4 linked regions of the Arabidopsis thaliana genome follow. The protein of the gene in region 2 purifies or fractionates together with the protein of the main gene of each other region. This does not show direct contact. Each region holds a gene or a part of one and is shown on either strand. Other genes may lie near its edges. The genes, in order: AAC3, GAMMA CA1, AT5G40810 and AT4G32470.

Evidence for each region.
Region 1: the proteins of GAMMA CA1 (region 2) and AAC3 fractionate together in Arabidopsis thaliana (co-fractionation; one large-scale study listed by BioGRID). This does not show direct contact.
Region 3: the proteins of GAMMA CA1 (region 2) and AT5G40810 fractionate together in Arabidopsis thaliana (co-fractionation; one large-scale study listed by BioGRID). This does not show direct contact.
Region 4: the proteins of GAMMA CA1 (region 2) and AT4G32470 fractionate together in Arabidopsis thaliana (co-fractionation; one large-scale study listed by BioGRID). This does not show direct contact.

The regions. Positions count from the first base shown.
Region 1 is NC_003075.7:14,040,785-14,045,261, forward strand, and holds AAC3 (ADP/ATP carrier 3), read right to left. Parts: upstream 2,564-4,477; 5' UTR 2,417-2,563; intron 2,401-2,416; exon of another isoform or gene 2,259-2,400; intron 2,026-2,258; 5' UTR 1,998-2,025; coding exon 1,527-1,997; intron 1,449-1,526; coding exon 1,077-1,448; intron 999-1,076; coding exon 702-998; 3' UTR 504-701; downstream 1-503. Other genes in the region: AT4G28380 (Leucine-rich repeat (LRR) family protein), read right to left, coding at 1-147; A7 (Bifunctional inhibitor/lipid-transfer protein/seed storage 2S albumin superfamily protein), read left to right, coding at 3,207-3,536, 3,611-3,780, 3,902-3,944.
Region 2 is NC_003070.9:6,772,728-6,778,083, reverse strand, and holds GAMMA CA1 (gamma carbonic anhydrase 1), read right to left. Parts: upstream 3,402-5,356; 5' UTR 3,148-3,401; coding exon 3,033-3,147; intron 2,779-3,032; coding exon 2,635-2,778; intron 2,070-2,634; coding exon 1,944-2,069; intron 1,842-1,943; coding exon 1,690-1,841; intron 1,521-1,689; coding exon of another isoform or gene 1,439-1,520; intron 1,283-1,438; coding exon 992-1,282; 3' UTR 516-991; downstream 1-515. Other genes in the region: DHAR1 (dehydroascorbate reductase), read left to right, coding at 3,671-3,728, 3,853-3,943, 4,130-4,622; AT1G19565 (uncharacterized protein), read left to right, coding at 4,953-5,005, 5,114-5,205. UniProt on the Arabidopsis thaliana protein: Enzyme involved in the catabolism of H(2)CO(3) but that does not mediates the reversible hydration of carbon dioxide. Mediates complex I assembly in mitochondria and respiration.
Region 3 is NC_003076.8:16,338,041-16,343,437, reverse strand, and holds AT5G40810 (Cytochrome C1 family), read right to left. Parts: upstream 3,576-5,397; 5' UTR 3,436-3,575; intron 3,268-3,435; 5' UTR 3,239-3,267; coding exon 3,179-3,238; exon of another isoform or gene 2,850-3,178; coding exon 2,638-2,849; intron 2,530-2,637; coding exon 2,250-2,529; intron 2,168-2,249; coding exon 2,096-2,167; intron 2,006-2,095; coding exon 1,889-2,005; intron 1,769-1,888; coding exon 1,703-1,768; intron 1,228-1,702; coding exon 1,111-1,227; 3' UTR 511-1,110; downstream 1-510. UniProt on the Arabidopsis thaliana protein: Component of the ubiquinol-cytochrome c oxidoreductase, a multisubunit transmembrane complex that is part of the mitochondrial electron transport chain which drives oxidative phosphorylation.
Region 4 is NC_003075.7:15,668,678-15,673,239, forward strand, and holds AT4G32470 (Cytochrome bd ubiquinol oxidase, 14kDa subunit), read right to left. Parts: upstream 2,573-4,562; 5' UTR 2,419-2,572; coding exon 2,325-2,418; intron 2,214-2,324; coding exon 2,056-2,213; intron 1,442-2,055; coding exon 1,394-1,441; intron 1,344-1,393; coding exon of another isoform or gene 1,343-1,343; intron 1,033-1,342; coding exon 964-1,032; 3' UTR 542-963; downstream 1-541. UniProt on the Arabidopsis thaliana protein: Component of the ubiquinol-cytochrome c oxidoreductase, a multisubunit transmembrane complex that is part of the mitochondrial electron transport chain which drives oxidative phosphorylation.

The sequences.
Region 1 (4,477 bases), on a different chromosome or scaffold from region 2:
AAGTGCACGGTACGCTTGCTGAAGATGCTGTTTAGGGTTTGTGGAGTGACTTGTGTGGTGGTGAAGGCTATGTTTTGCTGTTGATACTAAAGAGAAATGATAAAGAAGAACTGAGATAAGGACAGGAAATGTTATAGAGAGAGCCATTCAAAGACAAGTTATGGATCCTTTGTCTTAAGTGTGGTGGATTTATATATAAAGACAATAAGTTTGGTCTTTGGTGCAACGATTACAGAGGATGAATCAGGTAGTGGTATAAGATCAAGGAAAAGGACTTAACTCCTTACTTGTAGCTGTCTGGAGTGGTTTGAAGTGGGATTTGAGACTGACACATTTGAAGACCAAATCTTAGTGTTGGACTTAGATCACTCATTCGCTTACAACCCAAGGAAACCGAATCTGAATTATACAAACTTTCGCATAACCATACATTTAAAGTTCTTTTGATCTCTCAGCTTATGTTGACTTTTTAACTGATAATATTCACTAAAACTGTTTTAACTACAAAAAACATAAACATGGTATTGGTTTTCTTTGTATTTATTCTTTTGTCAACAAAAGTCATAGAAGTATAGAACTAAGACAAAGGGCCACAACTTGACAGAGACACTCTATATTCTAAAAGCAACATTTATACGAACGGACACACTGCTTTATTCATTCACAGACCTCAAGGGCTATTCTTTCATCATCCTCATCGTTTAGCCACCACCAGAGCCATACTTCTTACCCAACACAATGAGCTGGAGCTTGTCATAGCCGGCCAGTACACCAGCGCCTGCAACCGCACGAAGGATGTTGGCACCTGCACCCTTGAAGAGTGACTTGGCCCCTTCGTTCTTGACGATCTGAGAGAAGGCCTGAAGAGAGCTCTTGTACTTCACTGCTTCACCTGACGTCATCATCATTCTTCTGCGAACCGTGTCAATTGGGTAAGACGCCAATCCAGCTCCAATGGTGATTCCCCATCCCAGTAAGAAACTAGCAAGGAAGCTATCCTGTACAGATTATAGCAATGAGTAAACAGTAACAGAGGACTCAATATGTTGAAGTGAGGAGTTTTCTTTGTTTTTTACCTGGAGACCATCAACTAGAACCACAGGCTTCAAGGAATCATACAATCCAAAGTAAAGCCCCCGGTACACGACAATTCCAACGCATGAGATGTTGAAACCACGGTAAAGCCCGACAATGCCATCAGAGGCTATAGTCTTCTTGTACACGTCGACCATGCCATTAAACTGCCGCTGACCACCTTTCTTGGCCGCCTTCGCATCATTGGCTAAACGGGTACGAGCGTAATCCAAAGAGTACACAAAAAGCAGAGATGATGCACCAGCTGCACCACCAGACGCCAGGTTCCCTGCAAACCACTTCCAGTAGCCATCTTTTTCTTTCTTGAAGTTAAACAGCCTCTTGAAGTAATCTTTGAACGCAAAGTTTAAAGCCTGCAAAACAAAACTATTTGCTTAGCATACCCATCTCGACGTCTATACAAATACCACGTCAAAGAAGAGAAAACAAACCTGAGTGGGGAAGTATCTGATAACATTGGCAGTGTTTCCTCTCCAAAGAGCAAGCATTCCTTCGTCTTTGACTGTTCGAGCAAAACAATCACTGATTCCTTTATATGGCTCAGAGAGACGCCCAGCTTTGATCATTTCATCTTGATTCTGAATCAAGAGCTTCACACGCTCTATAGGCGCGGCTGCCGTCTTCGAAACAGCAGCTGAGACTCCTCCCATAAGGAAATCGATCAAGAAACCAGTACCAGTTTTCTCACTAGGAGCGTGAGCTAATACAGGAAATGAACCATGAGGTATAAGAGACGAGCCAACGCCATGGCTAGTTGGCTGCAATAGACTCTGCAAACCTCCATTGACATAAGCACCAGAGACACAGTAACCACGAGCTTGCACACTCGGAGAAAGTCTATTGATCAAGTAAGATTGTCCATGTAGCTTCTGAAAGACTGATGGATGCTTTGATCCATCCATTTTTTGTACAAATCAGTAAAAGCTGACTCTGAAAAACAAAACAAAACAAAACAAAACAAAAATACAAATTAAACACCACAAAATCTTGCTTTCTCGAAAATTTCTATATTTGCATGCTTAAAAAAGAATGATCATAACCAAAACTGGAACAAAAACAGAGAAGACATCATCAACACATTTCATACGATCCTAGTTAGCTTCGTTAAAGACACCATTTCAATCTGTCAACTATAATGCGACCTAATTAGCACAAATTAAAACCTAGTTGCAGCAGCTCAATTAAATCCTCTGTTTCTAAAAGATCAAGCAACGAGTGGCGTCGAGAAAACAGAATTCACGAGAAGCAGAACAAAAAAACAGAGAGAGCTAGGAGAGAAGCATTAATGATAAAGCTAGAACTTCTGGAGTCGAGAGCTTACCGTGGATTTTTCGCCGAAGCGTTAACGAGAGAGAGAGAGAGAGCTGTGGAAAATTGCGAGAAGAGTAGGTTTCTACATGATTCTCGACTTCTGGTCCTAAACTAAAAGACGAAACTGAGCAGAAGAGAAGGTACAATTACGAAAATGCTACTGGACTCCTTTGACCCGTTTCTTTCTGGGCCCAATTTTAAGGGACCCGAGTCTTGACTTCTTCTAAATGGACCCAAAATTTATTTTCCTAGGAAGATAAAATTCATACCTAATGAAAGTGAGAGACCTCTTTATCATTATGTGATATATGTCTCATCTACCTGAAAATTAAATATAGAAAAATAGAACAATAATCAAGACTTTTTTGGTTTGCCGGAAAAATATAATAGAGGCTTGTTAACTAGGTCTTAAAAAATTGGATGTTACTTAAGAAGCAAGAAAGAAAGTTGAATCTTTTTTTTCTTCTTCAGCCGGACAGAACTTTACAGATGCAAGGAAGGTGATGTGGTTCGAATTTAGTGATCCAAAACTAGTTAGAGAAATGTTCTACAAACAATGAAACAAACCGATACGTATTGAGAGTACCAGAATATAGGCAATGATATCGGCTCATGTATTAGATAACAAGACACATCATACATGTCATGCGATATAAAATAAACTCGAATTACATGCAATAACCTTAATATGTGTAGGTAGATTATTTCAAAAGATTCAAGAAAACTAAAAGAGAACTCAGCTGGAATTCATCCGAGTAAGAAGGAAACATGAGAACTACATGTGTTCATTAAACTAAGCCATGCATAATAAACTCCACCTTAGAAACGAATTGATTACTATATATATAATATATAGATATAGATTTCTCTTCGTACACGAATCATATATATCACCTTCGCTAGCTAGTGTACTGAGTTCAATGAAGATACATGCCATATTGGTAGTAGCGTTCTTGGTCCTGATGAAGACCGCCGTTTCCCAGGACAATAATCCGCTGGAACATTGCAGAGACGTGTTCGTGAGTTTCATGCCCTGCATGGGCTTCGTCGAGGGAATATTTCAACAACCTTCTCCAGATTGCTGCAGAGGCGTGACCCACTTGAACAACGTCGTCAAGTTTACGTCTCCAGTTACTAGACTTAATTCTCGATTCTTCTATTTCGGTTTCTTCTTTCACCATCTATAATTATATTAACTACGCAGGGATCGAGGAATAGGCAGGATAGTGGAGAAACAGAGAGAGTGTGTCTGTGCATTGAGATAATGGGAAATGCAAATCATCTTCCTTTTCTTCCCGCCGCTATTAATAACCTTCCTCTCCGTTGTTCTCTTACTCTCAGCTTTCCCATCTCCGTTGATATGGACTGTTCTCAGTTATTTTCATTCTTCTCTCCATAGTTTTTTAAAAATCTTTTCCTAGAAGAAAATGTTATATATTACATTTTTCCTTGTGCATAAAGGAACTAATGAACTGGTATAATTTTGTCATTACAGGTTCAGAAACACCAAGAATCCCGACGTTGAGAAATTAAATTAACTACCAGGATATATATCTATGAATATTGGGAAGGGAAGCCTTGTAACAGTTCTATATAGTTACAAATGATATATAATCGAGTTTATTGTAGATGTAATAGTGACTAGTGTTACAAAAGTACGAAGAATTTTCTGTAAGCGATTATATATATGTATATTCATCAGATATGGCTTCTCTTCTATTTCTTAGTTTTTACAATAACCATTATTACGGGAAGCAAAAAATGCCAAAATTGTCCATTAAGAATCAAAACTTAAGGACAAAACTTCTGGCTCTCGTGACATTTCTACACTTATAATTACATAGCCAAACGGATAACATAACGAGGCTTTTAGCTTTTTACAAAGAGGAACGTGGTTTAAAATTTTGTTTTTTAACAGATGAGTAAATGGCAACAACCTAATTAAATACATCCAGTGACTTCAGCAGAGTAGATCCAACACTTTCAAAGCCACGATTATTTCAATCGATCAGCTATAATACAATGTTACATAATTTCCATATACCAAGTTACCAACACGGAAACACCACCT
Region 2 (5,356 bases):
TTTAGTAATTGTAGTTAAAACTTTCAAATTTTTATCTAAACTCACTGATATGTTTTAAAGTTTCCCACACTACATATTTTTTTTTGTTACATCAATTAAAATTTTTCTTATTATAAACTCTAAAAACATTGTTGTTGTTACATGAAACTATGATATAGATTAGTGCAATTTGTAAATTCCGTCAGCTTGCAAAATCGTACTGTTTCTTTGGTCATTGTTTGTAAGGATTTTTGATCTGTTTACCGTAAGTTTTATAAGGCTTGCGATGTCTAAGTTGGTGAACATTTTACACAATCTACCGTTTCAAATTTCCAACACCATGTCTCGTGGTTCAAATTGAGAGAAAAAATGGCCCATTAGTTGAGATCTACAAAGTGACAAGGGAGAAATCCAATTATTAGTATTATTGTAACAAATGGTTGAATACTTGAATCCTAAAAGAACGACAGCCAGAAAGCTAGAAAACAAAAGATAAATCTCAAGAAAAGAAACGGCCTTTGACAAAAGGAAGGAGACGAATCATAATAATAGATACACGATACAAGATTTGATTTTATCAAAAAAATAAAAAGACGACCAAGCAAGCGTAATTCACGGTACCAATACCATCAACCCCACTAATAATTTGCAGTAATTATAAAAAGATAAATATATGATATATCCAGTTTGGATCTTTATTCTTCATGCTTGCCTAGCAACATAGGCGCACATGGATTTTTGCATACGCACATGCATCAGACTAATATTCACTCATGTTTCATGAACTTGATTCTTACGTTCAAAAGACCGAAGTGATAACATACAAAGTTTGATTAGACAATAATACTCCCTAAGAAACCATGAAAAAATGTTGAACATAGCTTCTTCAAAAGCTGTAAATCCGTCTACCCTAATGTACTCTACCTGCCATATTCAAACCAGAGACCGAAACATAATCCCCTTGAGTATCTCACCCTGTAGGGCTTCGGCCAGAAAACATACCCCTGAAAAATCAGTTCACATTAGAAGGACGCTTGGTTTCTTTATCAGGCAGTATGTTGTTAGGGAGGTTAAGCTCTGGTGGAGTTTCTCTCACTATTCCGAGCATTGAGTCATACTCCTCGTCCTTTAGAGCATGCTTCTTGCGTAGAACCTTCTCGAACTCAATCACATTTAATGGCTTTGCATTCTCTGCAGCGTGAGCCTGTGCGAGGTTTGAGTAGTTTGTTGCTGACTGAGAGATAAAAGCAATTTCCTCATCAGTGAGCTTCCTGAGGAACCTTGCTGGGTTTCCTCCCCATACCTGAGTCATTATAGACCAATGCGAACATTTTAACTCTGTCAGTCAATATGGCGGATGAAGTAAATTTTAAGGCCATGATGAGAGACTAACACCCTTTGGCATTCATATGCAGATAAACCATAGCTAGAAGAACATTTCCACTTTCATCTAACTAACATTTATAATCTGTTAGGGCATCTGAAAAGTGGATAAGATACGTTCTATCCAGATAGAGGAGAAGAATTCTCAAGACTAGAAACTGTATTTCAATTTCACACCAACCTCCAATACTTTCAGCCAATGAAAGAAAGACACTAATAATGTCAATAATATAGCCTATGCTGTCTAAGTAGCAATAGAAGTATACCCGCACCAATGGTTACTTGTGGGTTTTCAGGTAATCAGAAATGTTAAACCCAAAATCATACCTCTCCAGAAGGAATTCTGGTGTTTTGTCGTACAAGTGCACCAGCAGCAACCATCCCATGCTTTTCAACAACGACCCCATCAAGAAGTGTCGCACCCATCCCAATAAAGGTCTCATCCTCAACAGTACATCCATGTAAAACAGCACTATGACCTGTTACACATTTAATTTAAGACTATATCCCAAATGCTTCTTGGAGATGTATGCATATTAAACATTTTCAAAATAAACAGTGAGTAAGAGATTCCCACTAACCAATGGTTACATTGTCTCCAATTATGGTTGGGTGCACCTTCCCGCTTAAGTTTGATTTTGCCACATGCACAAGTGAGTTGTCCTGAATATTAGTTCCTGACCCAACACTTACGGTGTTCACATCGCCTGCGCAGAAAAAAAGAGAGAAAGCAAGTTTAGATTGTATGTTATCCCAGTTTCCTGGTAAAGTACTAACAGGCTTAGCCATACAGTACCAATGTGTTATGACATGAAAGCATTCTGTAAAAAGGACAACCCTATTTCATCACCATTAAATAAAAATCCAGACTAGCCAACTCATACTCGCAATAAGGATTCAACTCAAACTCAATAATCTGTATATGATATCGTTCAACTAATTCTGGTGTTATGACATGAAAGCATTCTGTATATGATTGGGGATATCATATACCCAATCACCCATTAGAGCAACTGCCAGTATCATCAAGATACGATATGTAGTAATGATCTGTTTAAGATCCTTCAATAAAGCTAGAAAGCTCCATTTTGAGTAGTAGTCTTGTTCATCGCTTAACCAGAAGAGTAAAAAACAGATATTCGTTCACTATTTTCTATCGTAAGAGTTGACACAGCTAAGGATACAGAAGTAGATACTATTTCAAACAAAACTTCAGTCACTAAAATAGTCAACCACCAAACACCAAACATTGAGGCTTAGTAGCTAGCTCACCTCGTAATACGCATCCATACCAAATGGACGATCCTCTTCCAATGTGAACGTCCCCAATAACTGAGGCGCTTGGTGCCACAAAAGCTTCCTTGTCCACAATCGGAGCCTTATCAAATACATTCATCAGTGTCCGATGCCTTGACACTACACAGAGAAAACCACAATTACATATAAGCAAATTTCGTGACCAGGAAACAAAAAAAAAACTAAGCAGCAAAACACATTCCACATCAATTAATCCCTTGTGCCATTCGAATCCAGAATCGCTATACCTACAAAGACATCAATTCCAGATCTCTAACCTAACCAGAATAGGTGAGCTGAATTACCCAATCGAAACTCCTCACTCTTTACGAATTCGAAATCGGAGTGAAAAATAGAGTTACGCAGAATCTTACGTTGTTCTCGGAAGTAATTTTTGCCTTGAAGGCGACAACCGAGGCGATCAAGAGCTTGACCAGTCTCACGGATCCAAAAACCGACCGAGTAAAATGCTCTGCCTAGGGTTCCCATTGATCGTCACTTTCTTCGAGCTCACAGGTAAACGAGGACTCAACACTGAATGAAGAAGACGAAAATGGTCGAAGCTGAAGAAGAGACGGAAGAAAAAAAATCAGCGAAAATGGATTTCAACAGGAACATTCCGGGACGGCGAAACAATAAATTACAGTTACAGTGGTTTAATATGGTTTAATCGAACCAAAACAATACGAAATATGAACCAAATCTAATTCGATATTTCAGGTAGTAGTTTCATTAAACCGATTATATTATTCGGTACGAATTTATTACTATATTTTCACTAAATTGAACGGTCCAAAACCTGCCGACCAAAAATCAAATGGCCCTATCAGTAACAATGTCGTTTCGTATCGTCGTCACTTGCAACGCATAACACGTGAGAAAAGATAAACATCGGGTAAAAATGGCCCACTGGTGGGTGGAGAATGGTAATAATTCAGTTTAAAAGCTAAGCCTTCTCACTGATTAACTCAATCATTCATCCGTCTCTGCAAACAAAGGAAGAAGAATCAAGATGGCTCTGGAAATCTGTGTGAAAGCTGCTGTTGGTGCTCCTGATCATCTCGGCGACTGTAACCATCTTCTCTTTCTCTCTCTGTTTTTGTTTTGCATTAAGCTTTTGATTTTGCAATTCTTAATTTCTGAGCTTTGATCGTTGGTAAATTTACTAATTTAAGTGTTTGTTTGTCGTTTTAGGTCCGTTCAGCCAACGGGCTCTTCTCACACTCGAGGAGAAGAGTCTTACCTACAAAATCCATCTGATTAACCTCTCTGACAAACCCCAGTGGTCAGTTTCTCTCACGCCTAAACCCTTAAGATCGGTCTAGTTTGAACTTGTTTAGCCATAATCTCTGAAATTTTACTTGTAACTGGTACGAGCTTTGTGTTAACCGGAAATTGGATTGGCTTCATGTGCGAGCATTGTGTTAACCGGAACTTGAAATTGGTGGCTTTGGTTTTATATATGATGCAGGTTCTTGGACATTAGTCCTCAAGGGAAAGTACCAGTGCTTAAGATCGACGACAAGTGGGTGACTGATTCCGACGTCATCGTTGGTATACTCGAGGAGAAGTATCCTGATCCACCACTCAAGACTCCTGCTGAATTTGCCTCTGTTGGATCCAACATTTTTGGTACTTTTGGGACATTCTTGAAGAGCAAAGACTCCAATGACGGATCTGAACATGCCTTGCTTGTTGAGCTAGAAGCTTTGGAAAACCATCTTAAGAGTCACGATGGCCCTTTTATCGCCGGAGAAAGAGTTTCCGCAGTGGATCTAAGCTTAGCACCAAAGCTTTACCACCTTCAAGTTGCTCTTGGCCATTTCAAAAGCTGGTCTGTCCCTGAGAGCTTTCCCCATGTCCATAACTACATGAAGACTCTGTTCTCGCTCGACTCTTTTGAGAAAACTAAGACCGAGGAAAAGTATGTGATCTCTGGATGGGCTCCCAAGGTTAACCCTTGAAACTATGCACCGTTATGAGATCGTTGGTGTGGTAATGTTGTTCAAGGTCTCTCTCTTATATCAGTCAAATAATGTACTTGGACCTTTTTATGTAATGTACTGTATCAATCAAATAAGAAGCCTATTTTGAAATAAGATTTGCCTCCATATCGAAACTCGGATAAACACTGGCTACACGTAACATAAGGGACAAGGGTTTTTTCAGACAAATTATTTAAGAAACTCATCGACAGTACTTGTGTACTTGACCTCAGGATAAAGCTCAGAAGTCTTAACTCCAAAAGAAGGATCTATAGTCAAGGAGGTAAAGTCGCTCTTCGCAAGGACCGTATGGATCAAACCCACAAAAAAATCCATTGGAGGCTGGGTCTCTGCAAATGCAAGTGACTCGTTTAATACTTTGGAGTTTGGACTGATGAATATTGGATATCAGAAACTGTTTTTATGGTTTAACTGATCACCTTTGATGGTTTTGAGGAGTTCTTCCTCAGAAACATAAGTCTTGTCGAGACTCGAGAGTCTTACCGATCTTTACATCCCACAAATCAACCATATCGTTCTGCGATACAATGTTCTTGGGCGGGTGAATGTAGGGTTGGGTGAGATTTTCCAAGAATGTTCCTGGGAGAAGGCAGTTATAGTCGCACCGTCAGCAGTCGTAAGGTAATCGGATTTTATTGTGGATGACCAGCGATTTTCATGATTTGCATCAAATTGTTTTTTCTCTTCTTCTG
Region 3 (5,397 bases), on a different chromosome or scaffold from region 2:
GGTTTAGGCGATGGGAAAATCCGAATCGGATTCGATATTAGCAGCGGATCAGGCACGTTTGCTGCTAGAATGGCTGAAAAGAATCTGAATATTATCGGTATTACATTAAATATAGATGCTCCTTTCAGCGAATTCATAGCTACAAGAGGGATTTTTCCGTTGTTCAGAGGGAGTTTGGATTAGAGATTCCCGTTCTATGACAATGTTTTTGATCTCATTCATGCTTCTAACGGATTGGATTTAGCGGTTAGTAGTAAACCCGAGAAGCTAGAGTTCTTGATGTTTGATCTTGATCGGATCTTGAAACCCGGTGGATTGTTCTAGTTAGACAATTTCTATTGCGGTAATGATGAGAAGAAGAGAGTTCTTACGCGTTTGATAGAGAGGTTTGGGTATAAGAAGTTGAAATGGGTTGTTGGAGAGAAAACTGATGCTGAGGTTTTTCTCTCGGCTGTTCTGCAGAAGCCTGCCAGGATTTGATTGGTTTTTTTCTTCTTTTTAATCAAGATTTTGATCTTTTCATAGGTTATAAAAATTTGAGCTCATTACATTTTTATAAATATTGATTCCAAGGGACAATTAAAAGTGTGGACTTGTATTTTGAGGTTTTGTCCGATCCTGCATGTTTGTTTCATTGTCTGTAGGATTGTGCAATTTTGTTTGGTAATGTCTTAACGGAACTGGTTTTACATTAACGGGTCTAAATCCTGCCTACATTTTTCTAAGTTTTACAAAATCGAGTTCGCAACAGAGGTAAATTGGTTGTTCTGTGGAGTTTTGGTCTATCAGAAATAGACCACAGATTTTAACTTTTTAACTTTAATAGTTACAAAATCATGTTTTGTGATATACAAATAGGAGAGAGATTGTAAAACCACATTTTTATTAAGACAAACCGAGTCCGGTTTAGGAGACAACAAACCAAAAAGAAATAATATAATCTCAAAATCATGTGTGACTTGAGGTTAAAAAAGCTTTACTTCTTTGCCTCATTAGACTTTCTAAACAATAAACAAAGAAACATGTCTTTTGAGACAAAAAGTGGGATTCACCATTTATCCCTTTCAAGATTAATGATTATTACCCAGAGAAAAGGTGATCTTCACGGGATTAGTTAACAACGTCGAGAACAAGCTTACGGGATTTGAGTACTGACCATTTCAGTCTCCTGTAATACGCAGCTTGAAGCAGAGCCAAAGACAGTAAGAATATCCATTTGAACCCCATCTGCACACACATACAACCAACGTTAACAGATATCTAAGCACAAAGAGTTGGATTCTCGGTATAGCGGGTTTTTTTGGGTCGGTTTAGAACCAACATGACGGTTTTGAATACAGAGTAACAATACGGTTCATGTTTGATAATAGTTTTGGTCTGAGATTAGCAGCCTCAAGAAACAAGCAGTAGTGTGGTCAACACAACTATGCAACTAGGTGTGTTCAACACAACTATGCAACTAGGTGTGTTCATCCCGCTATACAGAAGACAGAACCAAGGAAATCTTAACACGGATAAAATGGCGATACTTTTTCTACATCCAAAACCAATCTATACTATGCCGGTTTAAGTTTGGTAACAATTTTCTCAAACTGAATCTGAAAATCAAATAATCAGAATCCAGATTGATATTCCTATTGCAATCTCGTACATATGGAAACGACAGCTTAAAACATGGAATATATGAAACTAAGAAACTTACCAATTTCCTCTCTTCCATCTCTGGTTCAGCTGCCCAGGACAAGAAGGATACAACATCTTTACCCATCTGCATCATGTTTTTTAAAAAAAGAAAAATTAAAGATTATATAATTGACTCAGAGGAAAGGTCAAATCTGATAAAACTTTATGGTCTGCAAATTATTTTCTTAAGCAGAGGAAAACTAACCTGTGCTTCTGTTGCAGGAGTTCCATCTTCATATTCCACAGCTTCATCGTTGAGCATTTTTGGCATAGCGATTGCTCCACCAGGGAAATAAGGATTGTAGTGTAGCCCCTCTCTGATCTGTACCCGTTAGTCACAGGATTATTTCTAACTTCCAACAATTTGAAGTTGTAATAACAAGTCTAAAGCAAAAATAGGAGAGAAATTTACCGAAATTCCAGCAGGAGGATCACGATAACCAGTCAACAGAGCAAAGACATAATTTTGGCCATTGTGACGTGCCTGGAAGAAAATAGCCAAATTGCTTAGATCATAGTAGATGAATTTTCTAATTGTATACAAATGGAGAGAAAGAGCACCAAACCTTAGTTACAAGACTTAGATCCGGTGGATACGCTCCTCCATTGGCGAACCTAGCAGCCGATTCATTTGAGTATGGTTCAGGAAGCCGATCACTGAGTTTACCAGGTCGGGTGAACATCTCACCCTCATCATTTGGTCCATCAACAACCTCGATTTCAGCTGCCATGGCCTTCGCCTCTTCCTCTGTGTAGGCAACACCCACCAAGTCTCGGTATGAGATCAGAGACATCGAATGGCAAGACGCACAAACTTGCTGATAAACTTGGTGACCACGACGGATCCTGCTCATTACAAATCAACCGTCAGTAAAGCAGTCTCAAATTTCTCTAATTTTCAACTTTAGTGTTGCAATTTCACTATGATGATTGAATTGTAGCTTGAACACTCACGAAGCATGGTCATATGAGCTGAGAATGCCCTCATGTGGCCAAGGGTAGTTAGGACACTCCAGACCATGTTCAGCCTCATCAGCAGATGCAACAGTAGAAAAACTCAATAATCCGGTAATACCAGCACCCATGAGAGCAAATGCTCTTAAACCAGCAGACCCAGCATCTTCATTCGCTTTCTTCGAAGACAACCATGACAATACCGGAGTTGCCTATGGTGGTAGATAATACAGAACAACAGTAAGAAAACAAAAAAAAAGGCCAAGACACAAGAAGGTGTATGCTCAACAAATCAAAAGACTACTTTTTCTGAAAAGAAATCGAATATTAATCATACTCTCGAAGCACAAATCAATAAGTCTAAGTTTCTTATATCCCAAAATCTCCAACGCCACAACAATTCCAGTTACAATTCTTCAAGGACAATCTCTCAGAGCAATGAAGGTGTAGACAGAACCAAAACAAATCATATGATTCTATCTTCAAACAGATCCTAAGCTACAGCAGAAAATCAAAAAGATGTAACAGGGAAAAAGCTCACGACTGATTGGGAATGAAGTTTCCTTCTAAGAAGCTGCCGGATAACTCCTCCTCCAACCATTGGATGAACACTTGTACCAATCGATCTCACTGATACAAACAGAGAAGATTCTCAGCCATTACATATACCCGAAACAATGAGTAAGCCCTAGAAAACTCGATTCTCTATATAGATCCGAAGTTCCAACAAATAAACAAAATTGAATGAAGAAATGGCAGATTCGGATATGAGATGTGTCGAATCGAGAAAATACTCACAGGAAAATGAAGCAACGAGATCGGCGATTGACGAACAGAGGAGGAGGAAGAAGAAGAAGAAGAAGAAGAAGAAGTAAACAGCTACCAGAGAAAATGGATGTCTCCGGATGACGCGACTGGACTGTCACACACAACACAACAACACCTTTCAGATTTTTCAAGTATCATGGGCCTAATTTAATCCATTAAAAGCCCATTAAGGGCCTATCCGTACAGTCAACAGCCAAAAAAAATATCTGGAATATTTCTCATTGGAATAAATGGACCAAATCTTGAAATTTAGTAAAGGGAGACTTTGTGTAAATGATCTATGTGTTGTTGTTTTTTTCAATAGTGAAGAGTTCATTAGTCCAGAATGTTCAATTACAAAAAGATTAACACAGGCTGAGATCGAGATCACATTCTGGCTTGTTTAGTAAATATGTCGATCGATAAATTATTATGGCTTGCATTAACTCATTTTATAGGGTCCAAAGCGAGGCTGCTTTGAATCTAACATGCATTATTGTAGTTCAATATCGAGAGGCGCAAATTTGAAAATACAACATATGTTTCGTATGCTCTCGGGATACTACATCGACTCCAAAATTATAATCTTCCTTAAACTTGAAAATGTGTTTCAATTTTACATAGTACGGGAAAATGTAAATGAGAAATTACATGTTCGCTTTTGCTAGGTAAGTTCATATATTAATTCCCACAGGTTTGTGAATGTTCATGGTATGTTTAATATCTGTTACTCATCTTGAATATCTTTGCTGAATAGAATCTCTTATACCTAAAAACAGAATTTTAATTAAGCAGGAGAAATTCTCATCATGACTCAACTCAAGCCGAATCATTAGGTTTTTGCAATCATAAGTTGTGGTTCGGAAAACGAATTTGGAATCATCAGAAAATTAATGAATGAGACATCGTCCTGGAAGCTTTTCTACATATTTTCAAGCCACGAAACAGTAACTTTCTTAATATGTTGATTGGTGAGTCCTTTAGTGTCTCAAGTGGAAGTAGTTTTTCATTTATGAGAGATGATTTAATATGAGTCGGTTTGAATGCTATGCATTTCCTTTCGTGTCTTAGAGAAATGCCTCTATTATGTTTTGGCTTTGGGGAATACCTCCTTTAATTATGTTTTAAACTTTGTGATCTTTGAATCACTCCTTCTTGTACTTGTTTTTATGTGAATGAATGAAAACAAGCCTTTGTAAAAAAAAAAACATATTCTTCTCTTAACTTTATCTACAAGGACCATTCAGCTTTATCAAAATTAAAAGCTATGCTATTATCTTGTCTAAGAGCTAGATAGCGATCTGCTTTTATTGGTGGTATGAAGGAAAAGTATAATTATATGATTAAGTATGTCATTATAGTAATTTTTCTACCTAAATGAATGTTAATTAATTTAGTTTATTTTGGGATGAGGCACCTCCCCAGCAGGTATCTTAATAACATATCAAATAAGGGTTTCGATTTGAGACATGTTTCCACATTGTATCACGAATTGTTCATCAGTGCCTAATTAAGAAAATATACAGTTTAAAATTTGTGATTTTAAAATAATAGTAATTTTCTTATAATTAAAAAATATTTATGTATCATGACCAACGCCTATTTGCTTGTAATGTCGGGTTACTTTCACTCCTTTATCAAAATTGTATCAAATTTTTGTATTTGCGTATAATAATTGTATTATAATGTTTATATATTTTGTAACCTTGTTTTATATCAATATATCTGATTTGACAAACAAAAAAAAGAAATTAAACAACCTAACATTATTTCTTTCAGAATTTAGTGTGTGTTTATAGGATTTTAAATCTAATTTTATATGAGGTATTAGATAGTGGTAATGTATTATGTTAAGAAACGAACTTAAATAATAATAAAATAATAAATATGATTTTTATTGGGTTTTATGACAAGTGAAAAGAATCCACTCTAGCGTATTTCAGTATGTTTTTA
Region 4 (4,562 bases), on a different chromosome or scaffold from region 2:
CTAAATTCAAATCCATATTTCTAACATTTGTGGTTGGCTAAACGAAAGTGAGCAAAAGAAAAGGATGAGAGAGAGAGGGGACAGAGAGGAAGATGGGTAACTAAAAGAATAGATCTGGCCTGAATCTATTAAAGGCTTGAGTTTCAGTCTACACACTCACATGCAAATGCTCTTTTCTGGATATGAAATATTTATATACATAACATGGGTCTCTCTATCTTATGAATGAATGATTTTACACCCTGTCCGATAAGTTATAATAAGTTAGTTTTTGAAATCCAAGTTTCATTTCCCCGATATGCCCAAAGGATCTCTTTCCATCTTCTTACACTTGCCGGTTTATCTCCTCCACAAGTAGATTTTTTGTGTATTCGTCGATTATGTTTGAACTCAACGTAAGAATTTTCGGTTGCCAAGGCCGATCATATAATAATAGTACGGATGATTCCTTCCTATCTTTTTAACTCAGTGAACTAAGAGACAAAAAGAAAACACACACCCATAGTCCCATACCATAGACTTGGACAGTTCAACGACTGGCTTTATCGGTGCCTAATAAACTCATAATTCTCTCCCATTAATTTCTCACATGAAACTGTCAATGCAAAGGATACATCAACATGGCTCGACCAAATTCCCAAGAATATGGAATCATGGCACTTCTACATTTCAATGCATAAAACTTAAACGATTCTGAGAGACCAATTATAAGAATAAAAGAGCAAACCAGACCTCGAAAATGATAAATCATCGAGACAGACTTGAGTTGCGTCGTCGATTTTATTCAAGCCAGCAAAAGCGATAAAAATGTAACTAGCAACATATCCACTTAGGAAAACTATCACAGATTTATGCTTTTTCAAATAGTAAATAGCTCTGTTCAGAAAGTGAGCACCAAAATATCAATGTTGCAGATTTATGCAGAGAAGCAGCGTTGACCACAAGAAAAGGGGAAAGGAATGCTTATGGGAGTGTGCGCTGGTATAGTGGTAGAGCTCCCAAGGCCTCTCGTTCCTTGCTTTCCCTCTCAACCTGCAAATCACAACATAAAGACAGGGATGATGACAACGATGATGGGCTATCCTTACAGAAAAGTTACACTCAGAACTTTTCAAACATTGCAAACATTTTCTTTATGATGCAATACTTCATGAAATAGGGAAATTGAAGATCTGAAAAAAACATATTGCTTCAAATAACGAAGGAAAAGACATGCATCTCATCAAAGTTTTCATCATTGTCAATGCAGGGAAGCAGATAGGCCCAAAAGAAAGAGGAAACTTTACTTCAAGAAGGAATAGTACGCTTTTATGACACTGAATTGCAGTTTGATTGTTCCTACCCTAGACGCAGATAATGATTTCTATGTTAGTTCATCAAAAAGGAGACTTACAAGAGCAAGCATGTCCTGAAGATAGCCACGGAATGGGGTCTGCACCGCCTGTATATGAAATAACCACATCAAATAAGAAAGTTACAATATCCACAACACTACCTAACAGTTGCAATTTCTGATAGCTTAATCAATTTTGGAAAACTAAAAGAGCCTTATACTTTTAAAGTTGTGAACTTTTGATAGCTTAATTAAGCCAGCAATAATAACAGTTACATTCTTATCTAATAACAACATCAAATAAGAAAGTAACAAAAATCGAAAAGTCTAAACCATAGAGTAATACAATAGTATACATGCAAACACCACTTTACTTTATTGAAAGGGAAAAAAAAAGATGTAACAAGGATTCAACCTTTCATCAATCCAAAATTTCCAATAATCTCAAGCAACAGCAGAACAAACACAGTAACGCAAGAGACAAGCATAGACTATGCATAAACTAGTTTATATACATCTAAGCTCCACAATCACAAAATCCCCAAAGTAAAGTAATATCTTCTGATGAACTAGTTTCGATTTCAATTTGATATCTTAATTTCTTCATTTTTCTAGCATTTAATCAATATTCGAGCTCAAATGCCTGGGTTACCTATCCATATTCTAGATTGATTCTAACAACATCAATTTCATCCAAAGAAATAGAGAATGAAGAATTATACCTGAAGATCCTTGGGGAGGTACTCGTGCTTCATGGAGAGGTCCATGGCACGCTTGAGACGCTGGTTACGAGCATCAACGACCTCCCTGGGCAATCTGTTCATAGCCTCTTTGATGTCCATACTGTAATACTGATCGTACAGATCATCGTACCTCAGACCTAATTAATCATTCAAACCAAACAAAACAAAGCAGATTCAGATTCACTCATGAACATTGACAACAAACTCGGATTTCAGAAATTAGGGTTATGGATCGAGAGAGATCTGACCGTATCTGCGAAGGCGAGTAGATATGGCTTTCATATGCATACGAGCGAGGAAGTTCTTCTTTGGATCGATGAATGCTTTCAGAAGCGACGCCATTTTTCTCTGTCTCTCTCAATTTCAGATTTTCTCTCTTTGTGCCAATGAAAGAGACCAAGCTGCTGTGTCTACAACAACTCCTGACCTGAGAGAGGAAATAATCACATAAGCTCTGCTTCACGTATTTATTTGGGCCTTAAGTGGCCCATCTAAGCTTCACGTATTTTTGACATATATAGGTCACGTACTCACGTAGTAATATTTGGGCCTTAAGTCGCTCAGCTGTAGCGTCATTTAAGGCCCAGTGATAACTTGTATTTAGATTATAAACTAACTTGTCTTAATAATTCACAAGAAGCACCAGTGGTCTAGTGGTAGAATAGTACCCTGCCACGGTACAGACCCGGGTTCGATTCCCGGCTGGTGCAAATTTTTAGTGACCCTTTTGTTTCGTGTTTCACAAATACATGCATTTAACTCTTATTCGATCCTACTTAAAAAAAAAAAATGGGGGAAATTTAAGTTGTAAAATCCACTAAACTCATGTGAATGTTATGTATAGGCAAAGCTAGTTGTATGAATGGTAACTAGATTAATCACAAAATTGATATACCAGTTGTGAAAAAAGAGGGTTTAATTTAATAGCTGGAATGAGAAATGATAATCTTGTTATATAGATGAGGTAAGTTAAACAATTATAATTGTATCTTCATTCTTTACTCTAGACGAATTGGATTCCGGCTAACACCACTACTTGAGAGTTGAAAGGCATGTTTTTGTCTGCTTATGATTAAATTAACTTAAAAAGTGATTAAGTATCGTCTCAAGTTGCAAGTGTAATTTAAGGTTAAAATGTTGTGACTTTAACAAAAATACTCTCAAATCTTGTGTTCCCACTTTCTTAGCAAAGCATTTTAAACAGTTTCTTGTCAATATCTAAACTAACTTTAATTAAGGTTAGGTTAAAGAGATAATCATGCATGTAGTAGGTACTTGATTTAGTTTGATATATTTTTAGTTTGGTGGGATTTTTGATCACGACCCATATCCTAATTGCTATTTTTTAGCCACGAAGTCGTCGTCATCATCCTTATCGTAAAATATGAAGTAGGCCTAAAGTTCAGTCCCATTTAGCTTCATGAGTTCATAATTTTTGTTTTCCAAATAATTGTGTTCCGATAATAACGCACAACTATGAATTGTAAAAGTTTGTTTTGTTTGTTTCAAAAGACAACCATATATAACTCGTCTGACTGAGTGGTTAATGCATGTGGGCATGTATAGTGACTATATGAGCTTGTCTCAATATTTGATGTTTTGAACAGTATAAACCGGTTTTAGCTTAGCACATAATACTCTCTCTGCTAAGCTCACGTTAATTTAATTAGATATATATTTATCAAATCACATAAAATTATATTGTATGGCAGAATTATTCAAGCAAATGCGTATATAAGTTATAAAATTTGGAGTGATGAACTGATGATTAACTTTACTGGACTGAAATGTTTTAAAAATTGTGTAGACTTGGTCTTTCTTTTACACAAAATGTTATAATTCGCTGATAAACAGCTTTCATAGCACATGGTTTTGGCCTCAATGGCAGTTAATTATTCAGTAACTAATTAATATCACGTTTGCCTTCTTTTTAATTGGCCCTTTTTGGCCGTCTCAATTTTTTTTTTAAAATGGAAATTATAGTTTAGTTTAAATTTTGTACTGTCACAAATTGTTGTCATATTGATAGTAGTTATCTTTATTTAAGATTTGATTTTTACACTTTTACACAACATTCCAATATTTCATAAGTGTTTGATAGTGAGGTCCATATATATTACACTGAAAAGTTGTATTTAATTTATATGATGAATGCAAATTGCCTTAATTTATTAGATAAACAACACTTTGTAGATCATTAAGAAATGGAACTTTAGTAGCACTTTAATTGTTTTTGCTTGGACATTAGATTGATTGTGAACTTTGATTTGATTATTGTTGCTTTATAAAAACACAATAAAGTGTCTACAGATAGATATTTAGGATACAATGTTTTAGATTCTTATTTTTAGGATGGGAATATCCCATCAGTCTAAATGCTGGGAGACAAACGAATTTATGAAAAAAAAGTATTCCATATTGATTCCTTCTTATCCCACTCTTCTTCCTGAATAAAGCTCTTAAATTCAAGAACTAAATGTTTAAAA